Nothobranchius furzeri: one gene and its partners. The protein of the gene in region 7 interacts with the protein of the main gene of each other region in a pairwise test. Links are inferred from orthologs where the notes say so. Each region holds a gene or a part of one and is shown on either strand. Other genes may lie near its edges. The genes, in order: tmem174, ptn, serpine1, tmub2, eva1ba, syt11b and sgta.

Region 1 (4,881 bases), on a different chromosome or scaffold from region 7:
TTGATTGGTTTTCAAATAAATGAGATCCTGCAATTAGTGGAAAGAAAGCTGCGCCCTACATCTTGGTGCAGGAACAGGTGGGAAAATAGGACTTTTTAATTAAATCTTAAAGACTGTGTTTGTTTTACGAAGCATGTGCATGCTGAAAAAGGTCACTGGTATGATGTGATATCCCAGTGGGGTGATTATTTTAATAGATGCCCTCGATCGTTCCCATTGGCTAAAAGTTTCTTTTATGGAACAGCTGAGGAAATATAAGTATTTGTGCTACTCTCTTTGTGTGACAGGAACCAGAACCAACATGGCGTAAGGTGCTGGCAACTTCATCTCTCTATCGAAATGTATCCCTACGTCAACCATAGCAGTTGTCAACATCTACCAGTTGGGTCAAAAAGGGTTGCCGCTTCAATCACAACAAACCATGCTATACCCTGGGCTTTCCAAAGGTCGTGCTGCATTTCTCCCCCAATCCGACCCCTTAAAGCTGAGTGTCAAGCAGGGAGGCATCGGGTCCCGTTTGTTTAAGTGATATGACCCAAACATGAATCTGAATCTCCCAGTTTCACTCATACAACTGGGCCACTGAGCTGGTATGTCATGGTGTGACAGGATCTTAGCCAACACACATTCCCAGTACCGGAGTCACACAGGGCCATTGGGGTCACACATCATAGATGTGCTGCTTCCATGGTCCCTTTTGGCCCGTGTACACTTCTCACCATGGCCGTGTTTCCATTAATGGAACTGAAGGATAATTTTACTGGAACTTCACGGCACGCACGTGTTTCCACTTCAACGGCCCAGCCAAAAGGACCAGTTTCTGGGCATGTCTTATATCTAAACAGGGGTAAGTCGGTGCGTCCCAGGGCAGCTGTGGCTACATTGTAGCACATCACCATCGGTGTGTGAATGTGTGTGTGTGAATGGATGAATGATACACTGTAGTGTAAAGCGCTTTGGAGTCCTTACTCTGAGAGGCGCTATACAAGTGCGGGTCGTCATCATAAGTACCTCGAATGACCCGGTAGAGTCGCTGAGCAGAACTTTTAGCTAACAACTAGCATTTGTAAAGTTTGAAAAGTTGCTGGTGATGGGAATAAAAGAGAAAGAAAAAGAGTGTTCACGCTGCTTTAACATTGCCATTACCAAACTCCCAACACCAATAAATGCAGCGGAAATTCCCCCAAAACGACAAAATTCACAGGGTTTTATTATAAATGACGCTTCTTCTGGTCATTTCACATCATTCAACAGCTCTCCCGGTTATTCCGACTCAATTAAATTGTGCTGAACTATAACAGAGTAAAACTTTTAAAGTCAATAATGTCTGTGGAAGCTTTTTGACTCTGATCAGTGACATCAATCACTGCTGAAGCATTCGGGAAATGCGGATGCCTTAGCAAAGTCCAGCAAGGGCTGAGTTTGAATGGAGACGCAGCAACTCTGTATCCCATCCAAGAATTTCCCAGAATTCTTATAGTGGAAACACGGCTCATGATTTTTAATTACCACCTCCTTGAGACAGAATATTGCTCAAAACCCTCCCCGCCCTGTTAATAGGGAGGCCATGGGGCTTTTAATAAAAGCCGGAACACCTTGTAAAGACTTTACAAAGACCATCCAGGTTCTGACACGTATCTTCATTACGTCTTCATTAATGGAGGCCTTAAATGTTGAGAAACCGTGTGACACTTGCTCTTTTAGAAATATGATTGGTTACTGATTTGCATATTCACACTGAATGTCAACATTTTTTCAACCCCCGCAGAAAGAAAATAGATGGGAAACGGAGCCGGTCTCTCATGTCACATGGAATATTAGCATTCATATCCTCGCCCGCCATGGCCTGTGACCAAAGAAAGTTGTAGTAATTTTGCATCCAGGAGAGAGCAGAGCGCGTCTCAGCGAGTAGAAGTTTACCGTTAGCATTAGAAACTCCACAACATGGCAGAACCAGTTCGGGCATGAAGAATTTGTGGAGATAAGACATCAACTTTAATTTTTACCCAAGAACATGTGTTTTACAGTGTTCTGACTTTGTTAAAGGCAGCAGAAGAGTTGTGCTGTTGTTAGCCAATCAGAGACTAGATATTTGCATATCGTGAAAAGTAACGAGTTAGACTCATAATCCTCTTTGTCCACCCCTTCTCCTCTGAAAAACTTCTACTTCCTAAAACGGGGCAGCAGTAGCTCAGGTGGTAGAGCGGGTTGCCTCATGATCGGAGGGTCATGGGTCCGATTCCAGCTCCCGCCAGGGGTATCCTGCTGTTGTGTCCTTGGGCAAGACATTTCACCCAACTTGCCTGTGTTAGTGGTGATCAGAGGGGCCGACGGCGCCAAATGGCAGCCTCGCCTCTGTCAGACCTCCCCAGGGCGGCTGTGGCTACAAAGTAGCCTACCATCACTAGCAGTGTGTGAATGTGAGAGTGTGTGAAAGCGTCTTTGGGTGTCTAGAAAAGTGCTATATAAGTTCAATGCATTATTGTTATTATTATTATTAAAACCGAAGCACCAGAGCTTTTTTCCCCACTGAAAATGACTCACAAGGCATTCATTAACACTCAAGACCACATATTTACTAGGGAAAAAATGGGTGAATGAGTCTTTTAACAGGAACTCATGTAAAGAATGAGGGAAATGATGCATTTTCCCTTACAAAGACACGTTTATGAATTTTTTTACCGGCTTATCCTCTTCTGGCCTGTTTGTGAGGTGTGGGCTGCGCTGTCTTCTGCAGTGAATCCAGCATTTCCTGCACAGCAAACAGTGTCATAAGTCGGAGGGCCCGTGTTAACTCCACTCACAGTCGTACCAGGCTGCAGCTGATTTCCTTGGTACAGTTCCTGGGTAATGAAGCTGTAAGTTGGTGGAATGCAAAGCATTGCAGCAGCACTCGGGAGCATCTCTGGTGAATTAATGCTGCGAACCACTACAGGGTGTCCTCCAGAGCCTTGTTCTCTGACGGGTATCACATAAACCTCCTCTTCCTGCTGTCTGCAGCAAGAAAGGAACCTCAACTTGCAGACGCTGGTGAGCAAGAAGGTACCACCAACTGAGATCAGGATAGGGCCCAGAAGCTGAGTCCACTGGAAGCTGAGGTTAGCTTGGTAGTATTGCCAGCCCATCGAAGTGAAGGTGACACCCACCATAGCGAGGAGGACTCCGGATAGCAACAAGGCCGCTGCAGTCTTCTCGCCATCCAACAAACTCTCAGACAGCTGTGGCCGTGGAGCATCATTGTTGGTCTCTAACTCAGGTCGTTGTCCAACCATGTTGGTCCAGCGGTCTTGACGTCCTTGTTGGTGCATGAGCTCTCTGAGTGTGTAAACACTCAAGCTGGGACAACCTGTGTCCCGCATGGAACAGTGAGTTCAGCTGCATGAACACTGAGTAACTCTGAATGCTTACAGCCAAGAGAACAAGTCACAGGTTAACCTGCTTTGCATCCCGTTAGTCACGTAAACATGGGGGGGGGGTCAGAATGATGTGGCTTCTGACTGAAATGGTCAGATTATTAAATAGTTTATGAAGTCAATAAAATGCATCTTGGTTTGTTGTAAATAATTAACTAAGATAAGATGTGACACCACTGGGCAGTGTTAGGACCACAGGAGAAGATGGAGAAGCTGACATTAGTGCAGGAGAAAGATTAGCACTCATTCATGCTGACTTCACAAGGACAGATCACAAAGCTGTTCCTCACACATTTGTGGATTTAACAGGTAAAGTGGGGCTGCAGCCTCCTTGTGGTGAAACAATAACTTTAAACCCCCTAAAGCTGAAAACTAATAATAATAATAATACATTTTATTTCAACAGCGCCTTTCTAAACACTCAAGGACACTTTACAGGCAGAGATAAAATACACAACAATAAAAGATAAAACAGCATAAAACAAACAGACAGATTGGAGCAAAGAGAGTAATTATTGGTATGCTAGACGGAACAGGTGAGTTTTGAGTCTGGTTTTAAAGAGAGTGAGGGAATCAATGTTACGGAGGTCAGGAGGGAGTGAGTTCCAGAGCTGGGGAGCAGAGCGGCTGAAGGCCCTGCTCCCCAGAGTGACCAGACGGAGAGGTGGGACAGAGAGGTGGATGGAGGAGGAGGACCTGAGGGAACGGGTGGAGGTTGAAGGATGAAGGAGGTCTGAGAGGTACGGTGGAGCTAGGTTATGGATGGTTTTGAATGTATATAGCAGAATTTTGAATTGGATTCTGGAAGTGACTGGGAGCCAGTGGAACTGCTGAAGAACAGGGGTGATGTGGTGGAAGGAGGGAGTTCTGGTAATGATGCGGGCTGCCGAGTTCTGGAGAAGTTGGAGTTTCCGGAGGGTTTTGTGAGGAAGACCGAAGAGAAGAGCGTTGCAGTAGTCAATACGGGAAGTGATGAGGCTGGAATAGGAATCCCTTCACAAAACCATGATTCACGCCGCTCTGTCATCTCCAACAAAGCACGGTAGTAAAGGACGTTACAAAACTCCACGGCTGAGAGGATAGGAGCAAGCTGTTGGAAATGTTGGTCTCGTGTTTATTTGCTGATAGCGAGAGGGGAAAGAAAATCTGATCACATGTGGCCACTCCAAATGCATGTGGACGTGTGTTGTACAAACCAATACACTCAGAGGTGTCCAACCATGAGTGGATCAGCCAGAAGTCATGTTAGCACCAGATGTAAACTCCCCCTTATGTCTGTTCATGGTCTGCTTGAGGAGCTGCGGGGAGAAAGGTCAAACACTGAAAACTCTGCAGGCATGATCTGAAGGGTTACACTTCACTTCCTGCAGATATGTTGTCTGACTGCGCCGTTGTGCATAACTTATTATCAGCAACTCGTGCTGCTGAGGCTCAGCAAGTGTGCAGAGGCGAAGGGCTTAGAAACATT
Region 2 (4,344 bases), on a different chromosome or scaffold from region 7:
TTCTTAACCTCGTCCTTCGTCTGTGGTCTTCCACAAGGAGCAGTAATTCCGCTTGCAAAAACAAACAAGCAAAAAACGCTTGGACAATTGATAAAGCGAGCGCAGCTCTGAGGGCATCCATGATGCCGGCTAGTGTAAACACAGGTCGCACACGTGATGTCAGCATTTTTTGTCGCGGAAAGTGACGTTGCGGACCTTAAAACTCCGGTTTTGTCCGTCCACACGCAGACACCCAAAACGGAGAAAACGCAGATCTTCACTTTGGCCGGAGTTTTTAAAAAGATCCGTTTTCATGTGAAAAAACTCTGTTTTCGTGTGGATGACAGGCCAAAACGTAGAAAAATATCTACGTTTTGGCAGATCCCCGGCTACGTGTGGACAGGGCCTAAGATCTTAAAATGTTTGGATTTTTATGTATCCTATTTGCTCTTATTGCTCTACCAACCTCTGTGTTGTTTGTAATGATTGTATCCCTGTTTTTTTTACTTGAAGTTGTCCTTGGTTTTGAGAAAAGTGCCCTCGAATTAAAGGGGCATTATGGAAGTTTGACAGCCAAAACATGTATAGAAATAATAAATGTCTTCTTCTTACATACTCCTGCAATGCCCAGGTCCTGTAGAATGAGCCCTGGCATTTTTACTGTGATCGCCTGTTTTTCTGTGAAATCACAGAAAAAGAGAGATGCTCGGGTCGAGCAGGCTGCTTCATGCGTGTTCATGCTCAGGCATAGCCCGTAGCATTTGCTATCAGTAGCTTTAGCAGCAGAGAGAGAGGTAGTGCCACTTTGTCAATGTTTTTATTTGAGACTCTCCGAACGGCATTGAATTCACAGATAAAAAAGATGTGGGTTCAACTTTCATTTTGGAACAATTTTTCAAGCAAGGGAAGGGAATGATCTGAGCATGCAGGAGGACTGACCCATCTTAAACCTTTGTCGGCTGTGCTGAAGAGAAAGCTACAGAACCAAATTATTTAATTAATTAGCTGCGCGTTCTCCTGTCCTCCCCCCCCCCCCCCCCCCCCCCCCCCCCCCACACACACACACACAATGGACTGTCTCAGCTGTTATTTTCGTTAAGGAGTGTGCACGTACAGCATGCGTGCCTCGTGCACGAGCCTACTATTGAAGCTGCTGTTACACTTTTGGCCTGAGGGGGCAATCACAAGCATAAAAATTCAAAAATCCGTTAAGTCCCTTAAAGTGTATTATTATTATTATTATTATTATTATTATTATTATTATTATTATTAGAGTTGTGGGGAGGGGAGTACAGGGATTGGCCTGGCATATGCCAGTCTTGGAATCTGATTGGCCACCCCAGGAGCCACCTGACTGAGCTCACTGAAGTGGCTCATTAACCACCACAGCAGCTGCAAGAAGAAGAAGAAGAAGAAGAAACAATGTGGCGTTCATGAAATCACTTAAATGAAAGAACTGAATAATTTTGCCCCCCCCCCCCCCCCACACACACACACACACACACACACACACACACAAACAAAAAAGCATGACCATAGGTGCCACCATGCATAAACAAGTGCCCCACCAGGGGCCCCGTATGGAAAGGCTTGGGCACGCCACTGTTAGCCGGACCAAAAACAGAGAAAACATTTGTAACTGAATGACTGCAGAACAGTACTAATGGTGCTTTATTGCATTGTTACTCCTGATAAATCTACTTTCAAATACTCAGCAGTGTCTTACAACCTTTAATATATTTCTTCACGTCACCTCAAAGAAGGCATTAGTTTCCTGACAAAACCTCAATGAGCGGGGAGCTCTCTATCTCTCCCAGACATAAATTACGCCGGGCTTTTTAAAGTTGGTTGCTCAGGAGGTCCCTGTGGGATTCCTGCAACAATGGCCCTGTCACTCCCTCTCTGCGCTCTCCTTCCCTCGGTGTCCTCACCTCTCCTCCTCGCCTCTGATGAGCACTCTGGGATCTTGGCAGCGGTGACACGAGCTTTTATGTGAGAGGGAGCTGACGAATGAGTGTCACAGCCTCGAGGGAGCACAGCTGGACTGACGCCAGAAAATAAAGGAGAAAATACGCAAACACACATGCTCTCTAAAGTCACGTCTATAGCGTGCACCAGCTTCTGCATCCCTTTTGACTGTGTGGATGTGCAACAAGAATATGTGCTTTCATTTTACTGATCAGCAGCTGAAGATTGGATCTGCCTTTTTCAAGATGGAGAAACTAGTTTTCCCAATTGCATTCATCAGTTGGCGCATGTCGTCATGTAAGGAACATCAGATCAAAACTGTAAGGTGCCATCTGTTTCTACAGGGAAAAACATCCTTTGTTGCAGAGATAAGCTTCTTATGAAGTCGCTACATGGAGGTATCAGCCAATTGCTCATCAAAGAGCCATTAAAGGTCTATGACTCACAAATCCCTTAGCTCAGAGCGCTCCTTACAGTCAGTCACTGCAGTTAAAACAAATATAGAATCAGCCTTGTGTCGTTTTACAAGCTTTTCTGTCAGTTCTGTCCTTTTTCAGTGCTTCACTAAACCAAGCCATCTGAATTCTGCTTTTCTTTAATTTTTCTTTAGGGGAGTGCAAGTATGACTTCCAGGCCTGGGGGGAGTGTGATCTGGCGACAGGCAAGAAGAACAGGACGGGGGTTCTGAAGCGAGCACTGATGGACGCGACCTGCGCCGCCACCGTCACGGCAACCAAGCCATGTGGGAAAATCCTAAAGACCAAGCTGCAAGGTGAGAAGAATAAATCGTGGTTTGATAAACCCAAACCCCTCGCTGCACACTTTGAGCTCATCTGCAGCCTCATGGACTCGCTGAAGCCATGCTGATGAATCACAGTGTCTGCAAAACCGTGGCACCAGGGTCTGAAAAGATAATTGAGGTGTACTGCTCAGCATTGATACACTTTTAAATAATATACTTAATCAAATGTGACTTGGACATTGCTTGGTGTCTGACTGTACCTGCGGAACCTCCTGCACTGATTTTGTTTTCTTCATCTGCACTGAGGAGGTGTGTCTAATCAACTCTGCTGCCATTGGCTGAATGTGAGCAGGCAGTACAAACAGTCACCACATCATTCTGGAGCAGAAATGACTTTGTGCTCAGACCAAACAGTCTCATGAGTAAGAATTTATCACATAGGAGCAATCATCAAGTTTCAAGAAAAACACACTCATCATACAGAAAATAACAGAAAAAAAATCACTCCTTCATCTTCTAAAACTCTTCATCCTCAGCAGGGTAGTAGTGTCTAACTCCAGCAGTCAGCGGGTGAGAGATGTGGTACACCTTGGACGAGTTTCCAGTCCATCGCGGAGACAAACAACCAGTCACACACTCACACCAAGGGACAAGGAGTGCCCAATCCTGGTAGCCTGGCAAGGCATCCTATATATGTGAAAATAGAGTCCGGCCATGACCCATAAACAGAGCAAAGTCATGGGACAAAATCTAGGGTTGTCTTTCAAACTGTCTCCACATGCCATTGGACAATGAATAATGTGACGTACTCAACACTATGGATGTAAGTCTACGGGTCAGTCTACCACAGACTGTCAATGGAGATGCAAATACCTCCTGTATTGTGTCAGGCAGCACTGAGACATCTACAATTGGTCCAGAATTTGGCAGCCATATTCCAGACAGGGATGAGGAAATCAGCACACATTACTCCTGTGCTGGCTTCATTACACTGGCTCCCTGTAGGTTTTCGGGCTAGGATGAAATTTCTGTGCTATGTCTTCCGGTTTCTTCATGGGAACCCTAATGGAGTGTGACTAAATCGAAACGCAGAGCAAAATCATTTTGCTTCGCCTCCTGTCTGTCTAGATTTCTAGGCTACAATCCTGGTCCTAGAAGCCCACTGTCCAGCATGCTTTAGTTATTTCTGTGCTCCAGTGTATCTGACTCTATAGTTGAATCACCTCTTCAGCAGATCACAAGGTTCTGCAGAAGTCTGTTAATCACCTGCTGGTTAAAATCAGGTGTGTTGGAGCAGAAACACAACTAAAACATGAAGGATAGTGGCCCCTCCAAGAGGCAGGGATCGGTTTTTTTCACCGTTGGGAGGAAAGTGGAACACCTGGACGAAACCCATGTATAGAGGGGAAAAACATGCTCTCCATGGAGAAAAGCTGCAGCTGGGATTTGACCTTCTGACCTTCTTGCTACAAGGCAACAGTGCTTCCAACCACATTGCCACACAGCCCAGACAAAAATATTCATCATCTATCAGTGAAAAGGACCTCAGATAAGAAAAAAGGTTAAGTAAAAAGTTGCATTAAAATATCATCAGGAAATGTGAAAACAGTTCCAACTGATCCTGTTGCCTCCAAATTATGAGGTTATGTTCCTCT
Region 3 (4,344 bases), on a different chromosome or scaffold from region 7:
AACTGGAAGAGTGCCGACACGAAAAGCTGCAGGTGTTGAATACACTTAATTCAATTTTTTGTCTTTCTAACAGATATGTAAACAAGGATAAAGGCTCTGGTTAAGGCATTAGCTGAATTATTGCCATAGCTCAACTTAGATGTGTTTGTAACCTCAGAGCGTTGAGGAGCAGTTCAGCTCTGCATTCAGGGTTGATGAAGAACCTTGCAGAGTGTTAAGAGTCTGTAGAATCCAACAATTTATTCCAGCTGATATAATCTGTGCCTACCTGTAGCCGATGCTCCATTTGTTCCTTGCTCATTCACTTCGATCTTCACTCTCTGCAGGACCTTTGACACACACAGCCTCTCATTGGCTGTAAGATATAAACAAGAAGCTATGAGCTCCCAGTGTCATCTTTCAGAGTTCACCTGCATCATTTGGCTTTGGCGTGGCTCAAGGATGTCATTTTATTTCATAACATGTAATTATTATTGATAAACTCATGAACATGTCAGAGTTCAAACAGACAACTACTAACAGGTTTAAGACAGAAATAATGTTATAGACGCAATTTGTTGAAGATCTTGGGCTTAAACATACAAACAGAGAAAAATACATATATGGCAGACCATTGATACCCGACTAAATCTCCTGAGATACCAACTCACGTGTTATATGTGTGAAGTTAGCGGTACCCAAGCTGAACATGTCTCCAAGTCCCATTTTGATCAAAGCAGCCTTCAGATCCACTTCAGAGTTTAGAGAAAACCTGACACAACAAATAGAAATCAGTGACGTGTATTATGCCTACTGCTCTCCATTCACAGGTTCAACAGGTTAATGTGGATCTGTTTAATTTCAAGTCTTTTTTATATAGTCTGGCTTTGAGAGGCTAAAAGACAAGAGGAACACCTATCGCTGGGCTTAGGAAAGAAGAGTTACACACACTTTCAGAGAAAGTCTTCACTGTTTGTCGAGCAGCGTCAGTTACCAGGTGTGGAAAGTCACAAAGATTAGGTTGACCACCAGAGGCCTTGGGAAGGCTCCTTTCAGATGTGTGTGTGTGTGTGTGTGTGTGTGTGTGTGTGTGTGTGTGTGTGTGTGTGTGTGTGTGTGTGTGTGTGTGTGTGTGTGTGTTAATGACTAATCATCAGCCTCTCACTAAAGGACTTAATTATCCTAACAGACAGAATCTGTCATCTCTGTTAAGTCTCCAGTTACACTGTTATAAAGCATCTCTGTTAAGTCTTCAGTTACACTGTTATAAAGCATTTCTGTTAAGTCTCCAGTTACACTGTTATAAAGCGTCTCTGTTAAGTCTCCAGTTACACTGTTATAAAGCAATTCTGTTAAGTCTCCAGTTACACTGTTATAAAGCGTCTCTAAGTCTCCAGTTACACTGTTATAAAGCATCTCTGTTAAGTCTCCAGTTACACGGTTATAAAGCATTTCTGTTAAGTCTCCAGTTACACTGTTATAAAGCGTCTCTAAGTCTCCAGTTACAGTGTTATAAAGCATCTCTGTTAAGTCTCCAGTTACACTGTTATAAAGCATTTCTGTTAAGTCTCCAGTTACACTGTTATAAAGCATCTCTGTTAAGTCTCCAGTTACACTGTTATAAAGCATCTCTGTTAAGTCTCCAGTTACACTGTTATAAAGTGTCTCTAAGTCTCCAGTTACACTGTTATAAAGCATCTCTGTTAAGTCTCCAGTTACACTGTTATAAAGCATTTCTGTTAAATTTTCAGTTACACTGTTATAAAGCATCTCTGTTAAGTCTCCAGTTACACTGTTATAAAGCGTCTCTAAGTCTCCAGTTACACTGTTATAAAGCATCTCTGTTAAGTCTCCAGTTACACGGTTATAAAGCATTTCTGTTAAGTCTCCAGTTACACTGTTATAAAGCGTCTCTAAGTCTCCAGTTACAGTGTTATAAAGCATCTCTGTTAAGTCTCCAGTTACACTGTTATAAAGCATTTCTGTTAAGTCTCCAGTTACACTGTTATAAAGCATCTCTGTTAAGTCTCCAGTTACACTGTTATAAAGCATCTCTGTTAAGTCTCCAGTTACACTGATATAAAGTGTCTCTAAGTCTCCAGTTACACTGTTATAAAGCATCTCTGTTAAGTCTCCAGTTACACTGTTATAAAGCATTTCTGTTAAATTTTCAGTTACACTGTTATAAAGCATCTCTGTTAAGTCTCCAGTTACACTGTTATAAAGCGTCTCTGTTAAGTCTCCAGTTACACTGTTATAAAGCGTCTCTGTTAAGTCTCCAGTTACACTGTTATAAAGCATCTCTGTTAAGTCTCCAGTTACACTGTTATAAAGCGTCTCTGTTAAGTCTCCAGTTAGACTGTTATAAAGCATCTCTGGTAAATCTCCAGTTACAGTGTTATAAAGTGTCTCTGTTAAGTCTCCAGCTACACTGTTATAAAGCGTCTCTGTTAAGTCTCCAGTTACACTGTTATAAAGCGTCTCTGTTAAGTCTCCAGTTACACTGTTATAAAGCGTCTCTGTTAAGTCTCCAGTTACACTGTTATAAAGCGTCTCTGTTAAGTCTCCAGTTACACTGTTATAAAGCGTCTCTGTTAAGTCTCCACTGTTATAAAGCATCTCTGTTAAGTCTCCAGTTACACTGTTATAAAGCGTCTCTGTTAAGTCTCCAGTTACACTGTTATAAAGCGTCTCTGTTAAGTCTCCAGTTACACTGTTATAAAGCGTCTCTGTTAAGTCTCCACTGTTATAAAGCGTCTCTGTTAAGTCTCCAGTTACACTGTTATAAAGCGTCTCTGTTAAGTCTCCAGTTACACTGTTATAAAGCGTCTCTGTTAAGTCTCCAGTTACACTGTTATAAAGCATCTCTGTTAAGTCTCCAGTTACACTGTTATAAAGCGTCTCTGTTAAGTCTCCAGTTACACTGTTATAAAGTGTCTCTGTTAAGTCTCCAGTTACACTGTTATAAAGCGTCTCTGTTAAGTCTCCAGTTACACTGTTATAAAGCGTCTCTGTTAAGTCTCCAGTTACACTGTTATAAAGTGTCTCTGTTAAATCTCCAGTTACAGTGTTATAAAGTGTCTCTGTTAAGTCTCCAGTTACAGTGTTATAAAGCGTCTCTGTTAAGTCTCCAGTTACACTGTTATAAAGTGTCTCTGTTAAATCTCCAGTTACAGTGTTATAAAGCGTCTCTGTTAAGTCTCCAGTTACACTGTTATAAAGCGTCTCTGTTAAGTCTCCAGTTACAGTGTTATAAAGCGTCTCTGTTAAGTCTCCAGTTACACTGTTATAAAGCGTCTCTGTTAAGTCTCCAGTTACACTGTTATAAAGCGTCTCTGTTAAGTCTCCAGTTACACTGTTATAAAGTGTCTCTGTTAAATCTCCAGTTACAGTGTTATAAAGTGTCTCTGTTAAGTCTCCAGTTACACTGTTATAAAGTGTCTCTGTTAAGTCTCCAGTTACAGTGTTATAAAGCGTCTCTGTTAAGTCTCCAGTTACACTGTTATAAAGCGTCTCTGTTAAGTCTCCAGTTACACTGTTATAAAGCGTCTCTGTTAAGTCTCCAGTTACACTGTTATAAAGTGTCTCTGTTAAATCTCCAGTTACAGTGTTATAAAGTGTCTCTGTTAAGTCTCCAGTTACACTGTTATAAAGTGTCTCTGTTAAATCTCCAGTTACACTGTTATAAAGTGTCTCTGTTAAGTCTCCAGTTACACTGTTATAAAGTGTCTCTTTTAAATCTCCAGTTACAGTGTTATAAAGTGTCTCTGTTAAGTCTCCAGTTACACTGTTATAAAGTGTCTCTGTTAAATCTCCAGTTACAGTGTTATAAAGTGTCTCTGTTAAGTCTCCAGTTACACTGTTATAAAGTGTCTCTGTTAAATCTCCAGTTACAGTGTTATAAAGTGTCTCTGTTAAGTCTCCAGTTACACTGTTATAAAGTGTCTCTGTTAAATCTCCAGTTACACTGTTATAAAGTGTCTCTGTTAAGTCTCCAGTTACACTGTTATAAAGTGTCTCTGTTAAATCTCCAGTTACAGTGTTATAAAGTGTCTCTGTTAAGTCTCCAGTTACACTGTTATAAAGTGTCTCTGTTAAATCTCCAGTTACAGTGTTATAAAGTGTCTCTGTTAAGTCTCCAGTTACACTGTTATAAAGTGTCTCTGTTAAATCTCCAGTTACAGTGTTATAAAGTGTCTCTGTTAAGTCTCCAGTTACACTGTTATAAAGTGTCTCTGTTAAATCTCCAGTTACAGTGTTATAAAGTGTCTCTGTTAAGTCTCCAGTTACAGTGTTATAAAGTGTCTCTGTTAAGTCTCCAGTTACACTGTTATAAAGTGTCTCTGTTAAATCTCCAGTTACAGT
Region 4 (4,899 bases), on a different chromosome or scaffold from region 7:
CGTTTGAACCCACAGACTGACCGATTCAGACCACTGGAACTGGTTTGGTTGGAAATGCTTTAATGTTAGATCCACCTGAAACAAGACAAGTCCAGTATAACCAGGAGGAGTCTGTAAGAGCCAGACATCGCTTCATCTGATGCTAACTTATTATTTACAAGAAACATTTATACAGATTTTTCTCCGAAACGTGTTGAGTAAATGCTTTAATGAGCATATTTCTACAAAGCAGCAAGTCTTGGGCTCGCTCGCAGGCGTTTGCACTGTTTGTTTCTATTCATTCAAATAATATGAGTCAAAGTGGCGATGCGCAACAGTCAGTGGCTTTAAAGGAGTTCTTGTTTAGAAACCAGAACCTCGCTCAAGCAAGTTTCATGAAATTCTACCAGTTAAATATGAGACTAAGTGTTTAAACATGGTGGTGACCACATAGTCCTAACTGAAAAAATAATGGTGCAGTTAATCCTTATTAACTGCATTTAAACAGTACAGCTTTTTCCTAACAGGCTCACCTTGTTGCAGCATCAGTTCATCTTTCTTCTTTTATTTGAAGCTTTACAATATTTTACTGCATGTGAGAGCCAAGTCGCCGCCTTCTCAGCGGCTGTGCATCCCAAAAATGAGAAAGCTAAAAAACACAGTGACTCCCACAAGGGAGATGGTCGCAGGGGCGGTGAAGAACTGCCTGTAGTTGATACGAAAGTACCACACCACAGCCAGGATCACCACAAACACAGGCACCACCAGGCTGCTGGTGCTGATGGCCACACTTGCAGCTCTCAATCCTCCCGAGGGCCCAGAAGAGACCCCTGTTCCTGCCCCGGGCTGAGCCCCCTCCTCCAGGCTAGCTTCTTGCATGGACTGGGTGATGTGGCAGTGGATCACGCTGTTGTCTGTGATGTTTAGGGAGAACAAAGTCCTCTTGGGGTCCTGCAGCAACTGGCCTCTGAAGATCAATTTGATCTGATGCTCCCGACCAGGAAAGCATTTGCTAAAATAGAAGACGGATAAAATAAAACAAACAGGTCTTAATGTTGAGCAAACAAGCTGCAGACAGCTCAAATCTGTTACAGGGTATCTGCAGGTTTAAAGGAGCCAAATTTAAGACTTTTTAAGACCTTTTTTAAGGCCACTTTGACCAAATTTAAGCAATTTTTTTTTATTAAATTTAAGCTATAATTTCCAGCTATTGCCTGGAACCAGTGCTAACCACGTCGTGAACGTGAGATTAGCCATCCAGTTACCATTAATGTTGCACTTCCCCATGGCGCAAGCTCCCACTAGCATGCTCATCTAAAAATAGCCCCCTTTCACAACCAACCGAACGTGTACGGTTCCGCTTACGCCAACATCGTACACAAAAAATGCTGAACTAGAAATTCACGAAAATTTTACAGAAATATAAGAATCTTGTTTAATGGGTCTTTGGTAATTTAAGACCGTTGGAAACTATTTAAGGATTATTTGTAATTTTTAAGGATTATTAAGGCCTTCAATTTGGAAAAGCAAATTTAAGACTTTTTAAGGACCTGCAGATGTGTTTGTGAATGTCATTTGAAAGTATGAAATTAATGTCGGATTAGCTGTGAGGTATTTGTTTTGTTTCTTTACAAACCTTCTCAATATTCCTACTGTATCATGTGGCTCCACCACAGCCACTTCTTCTGAGTCATTTAAAAACTTCAACCGAACAGAGATGGAGGTAGTCGTCCCAGTGGTAGCGATGATGGTTCTGGTCAGAACTGGTGTAGGCTTTACTTGCTTTTTATCTACCCGTTTTAAATCCTCCACTTCCTCCTCCTCCTCATCATCATCATCCTCCTCCACCTCATCACGTTCATCCTCCTCTCCATCAGAAGCATGCAGCCTTCCAGCCTGAGGTTTTTTGCTCTGTATGTCCAGCAGAAGATCGGTCCACACCCCTTCAGCTCCAGCTCCTTCTCCTGTCCCCTCACCCTCTCCTCTCTCAGTCTCAGGCTCACTGTCGTCTGGCTTGTTTTCCTGTGAAGGTGGAGGGGTCTGCTGCTCAGGGGCATCGGCGCCAGCGGGCCCTCCGCTGTAGTTGTCGTGACCTCCCAGTCCTATGAGAGAGGCGTGAGCGCCCACTGTGAGGATGGTGCCCAGTATGTGGTCTCCTCGATCAGCTACGTGGGTGGAAAGCCAAGCCAAGATGAGGGCCAAGCCAAGGAGCAACATGCCCCCCGCTGCTGCTACCTCATCCCCCAACCCATCCATCATGGTCAGTGCAAAGACTGCCATCCCTGTCCTCCAATCCTGCAAGAGACGTGAATATGAGGAATATGACTCAAAAAGGGAACAAGGCCAAGTGAAACCACAGCATTTGCATTACTACATATTAACTCGAGTCCACATCTGCCACTAAAATTTAACATTGCACTCGATGTGTGGAAAAATATAACGGGACGCAAACTTGTTGTCCCCTGGTTTCAAGAGCAGAAACCACCAGAATTCAACCATCGTGACGGTCTTTTAGAGAAGGCTCAGAAGTTGCTGCAGGTATTTCCCGAAAACCCTGTTTTCCACCAAACGATGGTAGATATTTAACGAACTCAAACCCAGGTTATTTTGAATCCTAAAAGTAGTATATTTCAATATATAAACATTTAAAGAGTAAATTTAAAACGCATAGTCGTTAACGTAAAAACAAAGGAAGTGACAGTAGCAGATGTCAGTAAAGCTCTCCAGGTCTAAGCTTAGAAACTAATTACATTACTTGACAACAACGTTACACCACGTTTATGTTTATTGACATTCAGTCTTTAACCAGACGATAAAAAGCAGATTTACTGTTCTGCTAAACTGTCATGTTGTAGTTTTTGCTAGCAAGCTAACTTAGCCCTCCAGTTAGCCTAGCTAGCTAGCTGGCTGTCTGAAAAAAACGACCTTCGGCTGTTTACAACCGCATAACTCGGTTACTTTGGCCGCAACAGTTTTCACATTAAACGCAGGCATCGAGTGGACACCTACAGTCCCCCAATCCAGTCTACCTGGAGAAGTCTTACCTGTCAGCCGTAAAGTCAGAGCATGTCTAAACACCAGATTCAGTTCTAGTTAGCAGCTGCGGCTAAAAAAAAAAGAAAACAAGAATAAACAGTGCAGGCGGTGCGACGTCATCAACAGAAGGAGGAACCGGTTGTTATGGTAACGAGATTAGCTTGTTGCTTCTTTATTTTACTACATTGTGACAGTCAGAGCAGATGGTATCATCACTTCTCCTGGTGTTTATGGAGGTTTCTGATCTGACTTCAGCTCTTCAGGCTCGCTGAAGGTCTTTAGACCGGTTCCCTTCACACATCAGCTGATTCTGCTCACAGGGCACGATTATACCCACAATGCATCTGGGTGCACTATTTCCAGCAGCAAAAGTCGGATCAAGGAATTTATTTTAGGTTTTCTGTCAAACGCTGTGTGGCTGAAGGTAAGAGTGTGAATGAAATGTTTCCATCTAAATATACTCTAAACATGTCTAAATAAAACTCCCTGTTGGTGGATAAAAAGCCACAATGACAATTTAAAAGTATGCAGTTTTTTTATGTAGCCAAGGTTAAAATGTCTGTTTTTAAAAGTGACTTTTTTTTTACTTTTTGGAAAATGGTGTGATGAAAAGGAAACAAGCTTAAATTTATTGCATTTATTTATTCCCACTTTGAAATAAAAGCATTGATTTATATGTAAATACAAGATTAGTCAGGAAAATGGCTTTACCAATGATAAACAATAATATAACTTGTCTAATGTGTCCACAGATGGCACAGAAACATTAAAACTTTACTTTAGAGTCCCATCATTGTACAGCAGCAGATAATCCCTCACTGAGCTGGGAATGTCCAGTTTCCCGACAGCTGAGTGACATCGGGCTCCTAAATGCAGCCGCAAAGCGTGTCGACTCAGATGCTGCAGGGAGCGAGGCGAGGCACTTCGCTGATGCACCAAGTCTAAGAAAGGCCCGTGCTCCTGAGACACAGAGGCAGAAACACACCCACAGTGTGGAGGGTAATCAAAAAGAGAGTTCATTTATATCCTGTCACACATCTTACCTCATACACCTCATCAGACAGAGAGTCCATCCATTCACATGGAGGGAGGGACATGTATGAATTCAGCATCACTTCTAGAACGGCAGGGACCGGAGCACAGAGTTTCAGCATCTGCAAAGACAGCAATGACATCGATATCCCATAACAACGCTGACAAAGAGCCAAGCTGCAATAAAGAGAGGTTAAAGCATTCACTGGCTTTCTTTAAATAAGCTGCATTGTGTTTGCCTTGTTAATAGAGTAAAATTAAACTCACACATTTGTTTCCAAAAAGTATTTATGTATAAAATGAACAATCAAATAGAGTGAAATGGTCTACAGATAATCTATTAACTGAGAAAACAAAACAATCAAATGAGCCAAAAATGTTAAAAAAAAGAACAAAAATCATATTTCTGTAAAAAAAAAAAATAGATGTTATAGTTTGTGTTTAGTTCACCGAAGTGTAGGGTAGAATATCATCAACTGAGCACATATTTGTAAAAACCAACAATAAAAACTAAGTGAAGCTTGTGTTTTTATGCAGTGTGGCTGTCTGCATGAACCTTTGGTGAAACAGGTTTGGCTCCGTGGTTCAGAAGGGATCGCGCTATCTCCTCAGGTTGTTGGGTTTGGTAGTCTTCCACCACCTTTAGAGCCAAGCAGAAGTTTTGTTTTTATTTAAATAAAACATCTCTGACTGTCTCTATGGTGACTGCACATGCAGTGTTAAATGTTCATGTCAGCTACCTGCAACAGACAGTCCATTGGAGTGTACCCTGCACAGTTTTTAATGTCGGCTTTAGCTCCGTGCAGCAGGAGAACATCTGCAATTCTGGAGCAGCAGTTTGCACAGGCGTTG
Region 5 (4,846 bases), on a different chromosome or scaffold from region 7:
GAGAAATGCTGAAATGTGGAAAAAGCCAGTTAAATGCTAAAACCTCAGCCGTTTGTGAGGCCTTCAGAAATCCCATTCTCAAATGCATATAACTTAGTAACTGGTATAAATAAGTTGTCAACAAACAATCTGTCTCCATTCAGTTTTTTTCCCCACAGTGAATGACCGACAGTGGATTAGGCTGTGATTATGTAAAACACAAACAAGGGTGTGCAGTTTGAAGATAAGAAAGGGAAAAATGTGTTTGAGCCTAAACGATGCAAGCTAAAGCCATTACTCTTTCTCCCCTCTCTCTCTCTCTTTTTTTAAGGTTGGGCCCAGAGGAGTGTGTTGGAGGAGTGTAATCGAGATAATAACACAGCTACACAGCTGTTGATGGGGTGTGTGGAGGAGAGCCAGGTTAGAAGTCAGCATGTTAAAAGGTTGACTTCAGAGAACATTCTGTGGACAGGACCCAACAGGTCAGATGAGAGGATGATGGGAAAAGGTGACTGAAGTGATGCTTTCGAAGTCTAGAAATCTAGACAAAACAGAGCAGTAGCAAAAGATTTAGCTCTGCAGGTCGATCTAGCCATGCTCTATCGTGGCCTCAGCAGGTCTAGGCTAGGCTAGGTCATTGACTAGGCTAAGTTTAGGTCGAGCCAATCACAGCGCTTTATGTTTGTAGAGAAACATTGGGCTGTCTAGCCCCATTACGACAGAGCTTTTTCTTTTTTTATACAAGGACAACAGAGCTGTGACGGAACGAAACAACAATAATGGAGGTGACATTAGCATTAAATTTAGATAATTTAGACCTGGGCTTTTGTCAAAGGCATGAGCGAAGAGAGATACCTTTTCTTCTTCTACTTCTTCTTTGACAGTGTATTGTGGACGGCCCCATTGACTGATTTCCATCACTATGAATATGCCATATTTTTCCTTGCATTGATTGGTCCTAGTTCTGTCTAATTGCATGTGGAGAAATTTTGAAAGACAACCATAGATTCCACCCCAATGTCTGAGTTCTGTCTATGGGTCGTGGTCACAGTGCATTACGCCCAGGGACACAACAGCAGCATTCTCTGGTTAGAGCCGGGATCAAACCTGCAACCTTCCGATAACCCGCTCTACCTCCTGACCTACTGCTGTCCAGGAAACATCAAGGGAGGTTGCAGAAATGACTAGAACTGGATTAAAACCTGTCCAACGCATTATTAAAAACTGATGGACCATGTTCCAGAGAGATGGTGCATCAGGGTAAGAAGAGAGGCAGATGAAGGGATGCATCCATCATGCCTAGTGCCTACTGTACTGTGGGGGCAGTGCTATGATCTGGGGTTGCTGCAGTTGGTCAGGTTCAGGTTCTGCAACAGGATGTGCTCCAAGAATGAGGTCAGCTGACTGCCTGAATATCCTGAATGACCAGGTTATTCCATCTTCCCTGATGGTACTGGAATATTCCAAGATGACAATGCCAGGATTCATCGGGCTCAGATGGTGAAAGAGTGGTTTTGAGTCCAGACCATAACTCCATTGAGAATCTTTGGGGGGTGCTGGAGAAGGCTTTGTGCAGCGGTCAGACTCTACCATCATCAATGCAAGATCTTGGTGAAACATGAATGCAACACTGGATGGAAATAAATCTGGTGACATTGCAGAAGCTTATCAAAACAACGCCACAGCGAATGTGTGCTATAATCAAACTAAAGGCGGTCTAACAAAATATTGGAGTGTGTGATCGTTTCTCTTGGTGGTAAAATATTTTTGGGCCAGGCAGCGTATTTACATATATAGGATGGCTTGCCAGGAAAATGCTTTTGTGAAATGAATAAAAAAATTCATCTATCAAAAGATAGCAAATAAATTCACAAGATTTTCACTGTTCTTTTCCTTTTTTTTTTTTTTTTTTTTTTTTACCGTGTCCTGTCTGGCTGTGAAGCAAGCAGAATTGATGTCTGAATGCTGGTGACAAGCCTTACAGATTTACTCTCAGGTGGAGCATCAAAGCATCTGCTTTTAATGTCACGCCTGATACTTAAAACTTTATTGTTATTGTTTTTGAATGCTTTGTAATTCCGACCAGACACGGAGACAGAGGTGAAAGAGAAAGGAAAAGAAAAGGTGGGGAGAGAGGAGGGGGGGGGGGGGGTCCACAAAAATAAACAATGAACAAGAGTCTGCTTCTAGACCTGCAGAAAAAAAAGCAAAAGGACAAAAAAGGGACACAACAACAATACAACAAGATCAAGCTATCACTGCGTCAACTTGATGAAAAAATATATTCGTAAAAAATATGTTCGTGCCCAAACCCATACTTTTGAGAGCACCATGTGAGCACCTGTGTGTGTACATGCGCTTGTTTATTTAAGGTTTCTCTGTAGGAGCGTCCAACAGAGAGTGTGAGGGACCACAGATCTGCCCCCCAAAGATGCGCAGGAGATGGGGGAGCTCCAAGTCCCAGAGATCCAGGCGCTGCCCCAGAACACAGGAACCCCAAGGAGACTGCAACCAGAAAGCCCCCCCCCCCCGAGAGGCACAGAGGATCGCCCCGGGGGGCCACAACCAGCAGCCGGCAGAGTCCCGGGAGACATCAGCCGCAAGGCCACAGGCCCGCCCGCAACCTCCCACCCCCTAGCCGGCCGAGCCCGGGACCCAGGGGCGACCACCCCTGCCGGGGACCCAGCAGAGCCCAGGGACCCAGACCCCACCAGGCAGCCACCGGGATCTATCAGGCAGATGCCAAAACCTTAAACCCCCAGACCCGGTTGCCACAAACTCTCAGGCAGACCAAGGCCCAACCCCTCACACCAGGTGTGGCAGGGGGAGGGGGGACGAAGATCTATATCATCAAGAGAATTTTCACTGTTCTTTTCCTTTAAGAATAAACTAGAAGACATTGTGTTTGCACTGCAAAATAACAATCTCGCACAATCACTCTAAAAGTGCTACAGTTACAGCACTCCACACCCATAATATTTGGTACACATCACTCACTTTTGTCCCTCTGAACCATTCAGGCATCTGCTTCCTGTTGGCCCCCATGACACAAGCTCTAGCTCCATGTAATCATTCATCACCATCGCGCTTCCTGTGCTCTCCATCCTGCCATCCCCCTCTGTGGGAACTGTTGACTCATGGTTGACTAAATCAACAGCTTTGACCAGAGGCACCCATCTGGACGGCGGTCAGCGCTTCCACCCGCTGGTCGTCTACCTCTTCTACCGGAACAAACCCCCTGCAGCTTTTAGTCAGCACACAAAACACTTGTGATAACAACATGAGCTGATGTTTACTTGGGAACAAGGACTTTGACACATCCCAGTAAAAGGGCAGAAATTGTGTCAAAAGGGAATAAACGGTCATGCATGTGCCATAAATAAATTGTCGTAAAGCCATAAAGCATTTCATTATGACTGAGTGTCTGTGGGGAGTGAATGCTCGCTTCTCCAGCCTTGTTTATGACAGAGGTTAAAGCCGGTGGCTGTATGCCAGAGGAGGGGTGTTGTCACAAGTTGTCATATCCTCTGCATGCATTCACACCTTTAGAGTAAACAACTGAAGTCGGCAAAGGCTGACTTCTATCAACAAGGAGCTGAACAAGATCTGATGTGCAGAACGAAGTTAATCTTTTTTCTTTTAGCAACAGCAAACTCAACAAAACACCTTCCATTAGACACAGATGAGAATAAATCGCTGACATGTCAAATAAAGCTGGCTGAATTCCAGTGGTGGACGGCTGGTGAAACACATTCTTGGTGGAGCGATGCGTGAAGATTACCTTTAAATGAAAGGCTGGAAAATTAGTACAATTATTGTAATTATTATTATTATTATTACAAAGCCTGACAGATCTACTTCACATTGTCACTTAACATTCATGGACTCACCCATCTTGACCGACAACAGGGAAGGCTGTGGCCTGGTTTAGCTTCTAAGAAACTTTAGAGAACGTCTCGACTAGTAGAAGCTAACTGTTAGCTTTAGCAACAAGGCAGAACTCCTTCAGGCTTGTGTTTTTTGTTGAGATAAAACAGTGGTAGAGTCGCATTGCAGTTAACCCAATATCAGGAAATAAGACTCCAAATCCTGCTGTCTTCAGCTCAACTCTGATCTGGCCCACTTCTAGTTCCTCAAACAGGTAGCCTGTAGCCAGGTAGCCTAGAAATTTAGACAGACAGTTGCCAGAGAAAAATAATGTTGCTCTACATGTCGGTCTAGCCATGGTCCATTGGAGCCTCTGTAGCCCTGACCAGTCTGGTGGCATGCCAATCACAGTGCTTTATCAATTTGGGGGCCAATCAAAGCATTTTAGCTGTTTGGGAAGCCATTCAAAGTACTGTCTGTTTGGGAGCCTAAACACAGTGTTCTGTTTGTTAGTGGCGATGCGACAGAGCGAAACCACAAAGATGGCTCATTTGAATCGACTTGAAATGAAAAGACTTGTGCTTTTCTTTGAGTCAAGAGCAGATAGAGGTACTTGTGCCCTTTATTTGGAAAAATGATGTACTTGTGTCTTCTTTGACTGTGTATGGCGGACTGCCCCATTGACTGACATCAGTAGCGGTGAGTATGTCACGTTGTCCAAAAGCATGCTGAAACAGTTTGAAAACCATAGATTTTGCCCCTCAGCTGAACTTTTTCTATGGGTTGCGGCCAGACTACTCACATAAATAGGATGGCTTGCCAGGCTATCTAACAGGCGCACCAGAGCTTTTGTCCCCTAAAGAAGGACTTATAAGACATTTATTCCACTAGAGATCTCTGCAAATGTATTAACGTATGAGTAAAGGTCCAGACCTATAGTATTTCTACACCCAAAAAATTAGGGAATGCACGAATTAGACAAAGTCACGTCTGCAAATAA
Region 6 (3,119 bases), on a different chromosome or scaffold from region 7:
GCAGCACATCTGCCCACTGCTTCAGACTTTTACATCACATTTTAGCCGCCGTCACTCGGAGGTGGAGGAATCAGGAGATGTGAACCGGTTTGAGTCCACATTAGAGTTGGAGCTAATGTGGGGACGGACTGTGACTTCCTGTGGTTCTGGATCAGGACGCCGCGTTTCTGCAGGACCGCTGCAGACGGGAAGCATGCTGACGACTAAATCAAAGACCTTCTGAGAAGGAGGTTAGTCAGCGCGGAGAAGCGTCAGAGCGGGATGTCCGAGGGCGTCAGCACCAGTTCTTATACTGAGGAGTAATTCTACTGGATATAGTCAGTGTTGGGTTATGTTGTTATGGAGCTGAGGTTTCTCCCAGATCATCACTCAGGTTTACTTCTTCTTTTCAGACAGACATGCAATGAAGTGCATGACAACGACAGCGAGAGGGGATCTTTTCTTTTTTCTTAAGTAAACTTTTAGTTTTTAATTATACGAGAGCATTCCTTCCCCCGTCTACACACACACAGCCAGAGGAGACACGAGGACAGTGTCTGAAATGGGCCGCTTGTTTGTTTGTTTTTTGTTTAGTAAAAGAACCGCAGGAATCTTCTTACACTTGCAAATGTCGTGTTTGTAAAGAGATAATAGAGACGAAGAGTTTAAGTATCACCACAACAGTGTGTGTGCTGCAGGAGTGTATGTGTGTGTGTGTGTGTATATGTGTGTGTGTGTGTGTGTGTGTGTGTGTATGTGCTGTACACTGTTTGTTTCCAGTGGGGGTTCACTGGTGGAGTCCCAGCTGCTCGGTGCCATCAGCTGGTTCCTGAAGCTTCTCCTCCTTCAGTACTCGCTCAGGTTGTGCCATTTGGAGATCTGCCGGCGGGGGTTTTCACACACCTCCCTCCAGTGGGAGGTGCCAGAGGACGACGGGCTGTGGAGACCGAGGAGCAGGCGGCCCAGAACCTCGTTCTTGGTGGTCCGGTCAAAGTCGACCACCAGGAACTCCACAGATATCTCAGGCAGGAGTTCTGGTGGGATGTCGTAGATGAAAGACTCGTTGAAGACCGGGTTCAGTGTGCACTTTTTCACGTGGGTCTTCTTCTTGGCGATGCGCTTACGGCCATAGAAGACGTTCACCTTCACATACGGATCTGATGGCAGGAGAAGAATGTGTCAGATCATTAGGTTTTCTGCTCAAATACCAGACGTTCTGGAGTCATCCTCCTTTAGCTGAGTGGTTCTCTATATGCTGGTCTGAGCCCTGAGCTTCACAGGATGTGGTTTTGTTTGGTTCCCAGGAGGGAATTCCCCTCACTGCAGGGATCAGGACAGGAAATCAGATGAAGGAATATTAAATGAGAAAAAAATCAGGAGGGCAGCTGAACATTATTCCACCTGCACAACTTAATGCGACGTCATTTTCTGCCACACAGGACATAAGGTTTGAGAGAAGAAGAAGGAATGAAGAGTCCTAAGAGACCGTTTCAACCTGATGTTGATGGAAAAGGTTCCTGGGATCAGTTGATGCTGATCTGGAACCAGTTTAGTGATTTCCGACCAGTTCTAAGGCTGATGAAGCGCAAAGAAGTGGGTCAGATTAGGATCATGGTGGCAACCGTCCACCTGGGGTTTCTGTCTCTTATACTGACAGAGTTCCTTCACCTGGGCCTGAGCTGAGTTGGTTCTGGTTCTACTCACTGGCTGACAGGCCGCTGATGTCCATCTTAGGGAGGTGTCGGGCCTTCAGAACCACAGCGCTGAGACGATGGGACACGGGCTGGTAGGACAGGGACACCAGCAGCTCTCCACGACTCTCACACTGAAACAGAACCAGGAGTAAGTGAGTTGGGCCTGTTTTCTTTTGTTAGTTTCTCTCTCAGAACTTTTAGACACCATAAACTCACAGCTGCCGCATCTTTTCTTTTGAATAAAAACAAACACCAAGATGTTCATGGGACGTTTCCTGAGAGTCAGTTGGTCCTCGCTGACCAACAGGAGCCAGTAGAGGACCAGGATGAGCAGCATGACGCCAGAGAAGAGACTCAGAAGGCCTGGCTAATAAAAGCTTACTTTACTCAGATCAAACATGGCTGACCTGTACGGGGACTTTTACATCAGGCTATTGACTTAATCAGGTGGTTAAGTAGTGAGGGGAGCTGAAGTGATCACGACTTGTGGCGTCTTCAATACCGATAACATGAAGCATGATAAAACAATGAAGCCTAGTGACTTAGCCCCAGCTGGACAGCAGACACATTCTTCTGTAACGAGGCCTAAACCTTGCAGGATTCCAGCCGACACTAACCTGATGAAACCAGAACACAGCAGCTGATTGTCTGGACCAACCAGTCGCCATGGTAACAGCTGACAGAAGCATCAGTCAATCAGACAGAAACGGCAGAGGAGTGTTTTCACATGGCGCCACACTGACAAGATGATTGTGAGTTATTGAGTCCAACTCAACGCTGAATCTCAGCAGGACCACCATTTAGCTGAATTAAATGACCTTTGACCTTTTCCCAAAATGTCAGTAAAAGAAAAAATGTAAAGTGTTGAGTCTGAGGTGCTGAAGGAGGTCTGAACTCACCTGCATGTTCCTCTTGGTGATCTGCTGGCTCAGGTGGACCCGACCAGTGCTCGGGTCCACACCTTTCAGTGGCACCATGGCCTCCCCGATGACATCATCACGGGCAAAGCGGTCAAAGCTGAGGACCAAGAAGTGCAGCGTGAGCTCAGGCAGCGAGCTGTAGGCCACACCGTAGAAGGTGAAGGTCTCATCAAAGATCGGGTCCAGAGTCTTCCTCAGCACACGTGTCTTCACGCGATGCTTCTTCTCAGGAAGGATGGTCATCTTCACATACGGGTCGGAGCTGCCGGCCTGCTCGTCTATGGCAGGAAGACCCCTTGCCCCGACAATGTTCACCACCAAGGCCTTCTTGGGGAAATTGTAGTCGACGGTGAGGCTGATGGACCCCAGACTGGGTTCAGGTTCAGGATCCGAGGAGGCGGGTGTGAATGGAGATACGGTCTTGCTGCTGGTTTGGCTGCTGCTAGCCGAGCTGCTGTCCAGGCAGCAGTAATCGGCTCGGACCGGTAACGCCCGCTCCAGCCGGGCTTGGCTGTGGGCGTGGCCT
Region 7 (4,783 bases):
GTGAAAAATATACAGACAAGCTGTGTCCAGGTGAATATAACGCGGCATAGTTGTACGCTTTCAATTTTTAAATACAGGAGAAATTCAGAAAAAGTCATTTTTTTACTATTAAAAGGCTGTTTTACTGTCTAACGCTGTAAAACGCCTCACAACACATTTTTATCATGTTTCTTAAACAGTATTACACAAAATAAACATTTTTCACATTTCTCTAGCTAATTTAAACACTCCCGACTCAAAGTAAAAACCTCATGAGCTTCTTACTCTGAGCTTTTTAATAGTAAAAAAATTAGACTTTTTTTCTTAATATCTCCTGTTGCGGGCTATTTTGTAGAACGTAACCCTCAAAATAAATGATCACTGTATATTGTTAATTAATTCAAATAATTTAACATTGATTTAGTGTTGTAGTGTGTGTGCTGCTTTATTTTATATGTGTACTTATTTCAGTCTATTTGTGTTTCTTATGCAGAAAAAAACAAGCAACGATGGACAACTACATGGGGAAGAAGACACTCACCCCCCAGCAATGCATACCACTTACAAACTCTATTCTAAACATGCTGGTAAAAGACATGAGGCCACTATCCATGGTGGAAGGAGCAGGCTTCCAGCTAATGCTAAAAAATTATTCTGGACTGATATTTTGCACTGTTTAGCTCATTTTCTACTGCTGACTGTGTTCATGTGCAATAAAATAGATTGCAGTCAACTGCACAATTCTCTTATGTTTTTTTTTCTTAACTGAAATGCATCCATCACTTGTATAGGTTAAATAGCTAAACAGTAACAAACCGATAATCGATTAATCGAAAAAATAATCGACAGATTAATCGATTATGAAAATAATCGTTAGTTGCAGCCCTAAACGTAACACATGTCTATAACAGCATCAGTGGGGCTGGGTACCATGAAGTACTTATTCATACTACTACTTTAACGATGGCGAGAAGAGAGGATAACAAAGTACTTAAAGGTTGTGTTCTTTATATTATTTTATTATATTTATTGATATTATACTTTATTCCAGCAAAGCTGCAGTGCAAACAGTAAAGGCCCAACATGTAAACATGAATAAAGCAGCTTCATTAGTGCTGACTTCATGTCAGTAACAGCAGTTAACAACAACCTGCTGAACTGCTTTTATAACAGCAGCCAGGTCTGCTGTCATCAGCCTCCATCCTCACACTCCTCCAGGGCTTGGGAAGGTGATGGACTCGGGTTGACTTGGTTGCAGTCAGAGACGTTCCATGTTCCAGCTCTTAAGATGCCGCCCTGCACGACCAGGTGCTGGTGAAACTGCTGCTATTCCTGCTGATGCATTTAGCTGCTGCGTACTTTAGCTAAACGACCCAAACGTTTGTTTTCTAGTTAATGTTGCTGAAAGGAGACGCGCCTGCTCCACTCATAACGTGACCCGGGATCAGTCATGTGACCTGCAGTGGCACATCGGGACATTTTAACACTTTTTTCTGATATTTGGGACCTACCAAGGCCGGATTAACCATATGGGCAACTGGGCAATTGCCCAGGGGCCCATGAACTCTAAAGGGCCCAGGGCAGCAAGGGCAAGAGCAAAATACTGTATCTGTAATCTCCTGCTTTCAGTGGCGGCTGGCCAGTAGAGGGTGATAGGGCGCCGCCCTCCCAGTTTTCCCCAGTGTTTTTAATTTTAATTAAAAAAAAATAAATAAAATTAACAATAATCACATATTCTAAGTTAATTGTGTGATTTGTAACAAAAACAAATCATATATGTATATATCTATATTGGTGAGAAGCTCTCTGCCGAGCGGTGGAGGCGACAGAAAGGCTGTAGGCTGTGTTTCAATCGCCCAAACAGCACGGAAGCTGCCGGCCAATTGCTGACAAGAAAATCAAACGGTAGGAATGGGAATGTATCCAATCAGCGTCGACGTCGATTCAGAAGCATGATGGGCGATAGAGCTACCGCCAAAGGCTTTCGTTGGTATTCGGTAGAACTCGGAGAGTCTCGACTACTCCAGCACGTTTTTGGTCGTGACGCAGATGTAACATGGACGCCGCCGGTGACTACAACCAGCATGGATACCGGATCTCAGCAGCCACTGAATTCAGTTCGGTCTCTTCTCCAGTATCCGTTCGAGAGGAGAACTATGGTGGAAAACTTAATGTCAAAGAGCTTGGACCAGAAGAGAGGGCCTCAAGTTAAGACCCTCTCCTCATTGGTCAGTCCACACGAGGTGGGTCAAAGGTTACCCTGAGCGGGTTACGTGATGTCAGGCATTCAAGTATTGAGTATATTTACTGCATATTACAGTAAAATATTCTGTATGTGACCATATTGTGGTGATTCTTGGGTTGTTATGATGGGGCCCTTGAATATTGTTGCCCAGGGTAACAAAGTGTTAATCCGGCCCTGGGACCTACGAGTGTTTCCACTCAGTCCCAAAGAGGTCCAGAGTTCTGGAACCCGCCCTAGGCGTCAGTCAGCCTTTCTCATGAGCTGAGATGTTCTATGTTCCTCCTCTGCTGGAGGTCTGTGTGGTCCACGCGCACGCGCACACACACACACACACACACGGTGTGTGTTTACCGTTTTGGATCGCTGCTGTAGCGCGGGAGCTGAATACGTCACGTGTTCGGAGTATTTAGACCCGAGGCGGTTCTCTATTATTGGTTCCGCCACTCTATTTATGCTACGTTATAAAACAATAAGGTGTAATATAAAAATGATGGTGGTTGACAAATGAAACTCTAGAGGACAAACACGGTACGGGTCATTTACGTTCCGCACTCATTTTAGACCTTTTAAGGAATCATTTCCAAATTCCTAAATTCAACGCTGTTAGGACTTTTTAGACCCCGCGGAAAGCCTGCAGCCAGGACCGAACCGGAAGCTCGTCCCTACCCACCTGTCCTTCTGCAGGAGTCCGGATAACGAGCCAGTCCTCCGGGGCTCAGGCAGCTCCAGGGTCCGCAGAAACACCTCCACCTCTCCGGACACGAGCCTGCCCGTGACCTGGAGCTGCGTCCTGCTGAGGCTCCAGAGCCTCACAGGAAGTAAAGATAAAGTTAATAACCGTGTCTCTAAAATCCTCATAACGAATCATTTCCGCCTCCGACGAGCAGAAATGAAATAAATGAGGACAGACTTTTGCAGCTTTCCTCCTGAAGACGCGGTCAGCTAAAGGCGCGTGAGCGGGTTCATCTGAGGTGTTTAACTGGAATCTTTACCTGTTAAGTTGTTCTCACCTTTAAAACGATGGAAAAGGCGTTTGTATTTTTCAGCGCTACGGCGGCCCTACAGGGACAAACTACGTGAAGCGCGACTTTCCCTTTGACATCGCCCCCTGCTGGTCTGTTTGTATAGTTCATTTACTCCAATTATCCATAACATTATGACCACCGGTTTCCACTGAACGCGTCAGAACAGCAACCATGAGAAGCTTGACCTTTCAGCCTAAGAACCCACAGCTGGACTCCAAATTCAAACTCCCGCTTGAGTAGCGAACACTTGGAGAGTCATCCATTCACCACGGACTCCAGGGTGCACACACCTTATTTCAGACTTCAGTTAGGATTGATGACACTGAAGCGTTAACCATAAAATCCTGACCTGAGGTGATATTCAGACATTTGTGGACTGGCTTACATTTAAAATTACAGAATAATGAACCCTTCAAAAGTAGCAAAATACAAGATTCATTGGCAACCTTCTCATTTTTTTCTGTAAATATATATTTACGTTGTTGTTTTAATTAAAATAATTCACAATTTATCTCACAATTCTACATGTGTTATATATATATATATATATATATATATATATATATATATATATATATATATATATATATATATATATATATATATATATGTATATATATATATATATATATAAACACATGTAGAATTGTGAGATAAATTGTGAATTATTTTAATTAAAACAACAACGTAAATATATATTTACGTTGTTGTTTTAATTAAAATAATTCACAATTTATCTCACAATTCTACATGTGTTTATATATATATATATATATATATATATATATATATATATATATATATATATATATATATATATATATATATATATATATATATATATCAGATGTTTTAAATGTGCCTGCAGGTTAGGGTTGTTGTGGAATTACAAAGTTTTTGTTTAGTTTGGTTTTTTTCCTGCCAGGTGTTCATTGTTGAGTTTCTCGCTGCTGAACCTCATCAGCTAAGAGTTTTAGGTTATGTGCTCTAGTTAATGAAAGGAAGATTTAAAAGATTTTTTAAACCTTTATTTAACCAGGATAGAGACCCATTGAGGTTAAGAACCTGGCCAAGAGGCAGCAAAAATACAAACAGTTACAACGTCATGACAATGATAAAACACTCAGTCATTAGAAGCAGTTACAAGTTACTAATGCAATCTCTGAAGCTGTCAGTTTGGTTTTGAAGGCATTTAGTGAAACTTGCTCAGTCATTTTCCAGGTTTTCTGCAGCTGGTTCCAAGCGGAAGGAGCAGAGCAGGCGAGGGCTCTTTCCTAACTGTGTGCGAGCAAAAGGAACAGGAAGCAGCAACTGATGGTTAGACCTTAAAGAATGGGAATCAAAAATTTTTTCATGTGATTGAAGTGCAAATATAAGGAGGTAACAATCCAAACACTGCCTTGTAAATAAAAACATACCAATGATTTTGTCGTCTTATTGCCAATGACGGCCATTTCACTCGTGAATATAATTCACAGTGATGTGTTATGGGCGGGGCTCTGCAGCATGTGATGAATCTCAGAGACGCATGGTA

Evidence for each region.
Region 1: the proteins of sgta (region 7) and tmem174 interact in binary tests that used the Homo sapiens proteins (3 or more experiments, as listed by UniProt). The two-hybrid records come from large-scale screens. The link is inferred for Nothobranchius furzeri from reciprocal best matches to the Homo sapiens genes SGTA and TMEM174.
Region 2: the proteins of sgta (region 7) and ptn interact in a two-hybrid assay, tested with the Homo sapiens proteins (2 studies listed by BioGRID and IntAct). The link is inferred for Nothobranchius furzeri from reciprocal best matches to the Homo sapiens genes SGTA and PTN.
Region 3: the proteins of sgta (region 7) and serpine1 interact in binary tests that used the Homo sapiens proteins (3 or more experiments, as listed by UniProt). The two-hybrid records come from large-scale screens. The link is inferred for Nothobranchius furzeri from reciprocal best matches to the Homo sapiens genes SGTA and SERPINE1.
Region 4: the proteins of sgta (region 7) and tmub2 interact in binary tests that used the Homo sapiens proteins (3 or more experiments, as listed by UniProt). The two-hybrid records come from large-scale screens. The link is inferred for Nothobranchius furzeri from reciprocal best matches to the Homo sapiens genes SGTA and TMUB2.
Region 5: the proteins of sgta (region 7) and eva1ba interact in binary tests that used the Homo sapiens proteins (3 or more experiments, as listed by UniProt). The two-hybrid records come from large-scale screens. The link is inferred for Nothobranchius furzeri from reciprocal best matches to the Homo sapiens genes SGTA and EVA1B.
Region 6: the proteins of sgta (region 7) and syt11b interact in binary tests that used the Homo sapiens proteins (3 or more experiments, as listed by UniProt). The two-hybrid records come from large-scale screens. The link is inferred for Nothobranchius furzeri from reciprocal best matches to the Homo sapiens genes SGTA and SYT11.

The regions. Positions count from the first base shown.
Region 1 is NC_091746.1:66,616,670-66,621,550, forward strand, and holds the start of tmem174 (transmembrane protein 174), read right to left. Parts: upstream 3,369-4,881; 5' UTR 3,360-3,368; coding exon 2,683-3,359; intron 1-2,682. UniProt on the Homo sapiens protein: Regulator of plasma phosphate homeostasis. Decreases serum inorganic phosphate (Pi) uptake by regulating the sodium-phosphate cotransporter SLC34A1 trafficking by PTH and FGF23 in the kidney.
Region 2 is NC_091741.1:42,131,070-42,135,413, reverse strand, and holds part of ptn (pleiotrophin), read left to right. Parts: intron 1-2,557; coding exon 2,558-2,719; intron 2,720-4,344.
Region 3 is NC_091743.1:88,606,922-88,611,265, reverse strand, and holds part of serpine1 (plasminogen activator inhibitor 1), read right to left. Parts: intron 752-4,344; coding exon 651-751; intron 356-650; coding exon 269-355; intron 1-268. UniProt on the Homo sapiens protein: Serine protease inhibitor. Inhibits TMPRSS7. Is a primary inhibitor of tissue-type plasminogen activator (PLAT) and urokinase-type plasminogen activator (PLAU).
Region 4 is NC_091745.1:10,231,037-10,235,935, forward strand, and holds tmub2 (transmembrane and ubiquitin-like domain-containing protein 2), read right to left. Parts: upstream 3,231-4,899; 5' UTR 3,024-3,230; intron 2,275-3,023; 5' UTR 2,260-2,274; coding exon 1,616-2,259; intron 992-1,615; coding exon 598-991; 3' UTR 44-597; downstream 1-43. Other genes in the region: asb16 (ankyrin repeat and SOCS box protein 16), read right to left, coding at 3,790-3,975, 4,059-4,169, 4,604-4,687, 4,788-4,899.
Region 5 is NC_091745.1:70,961,267-70,966,112, forward strand, and holds the start of eva1ba (eva-1 homolog Ba), read right to left. Parts: upstream 3,341-4,846; 5' UTR 2,977-3,340; intron 1-2,976.
Region 6 is NC_091745.1:59,982,032-59,985,150, forward strand, and holds part of syt11b (synaptotagmin-11b), read right to left. Parts: coding exon 2,573-3,119; intron 1,805-2,572; coding exon 1,684-1,804; intron 1,137-1,683; coding exon 826-1,136; 3' UTR 1-825. UniProt on the Homo sapiens protein: Synaptotagmin family member involved in vesicular and membrane trafficking which does not bind Ca(2+). Inhibits clathrin-mediated and bulk endocytosis, functions to ensure precision in vesicle retrieval.
Region 7 is NC_091748.1:79,890,494-79,895,276, reverse strand, and holds the start of sgta (small glutamine-rich tetratricopeptide repeat-containing protein alpha), read right to left. Parts: upstream 3,035-4,783; 5' UTR 2,895-3,034; intron 718-2,894; exon of another isoform or gene 473-717; intron 1-472. UniProt on the Homo sapiens protein: Co-chaperone that binds misfolded and hydrophobic patches-containing client proteins in the cytosol. Mediates their targeting to the endoplasmic reticulum but also regulates their sorting to the proteasome when targeting fails.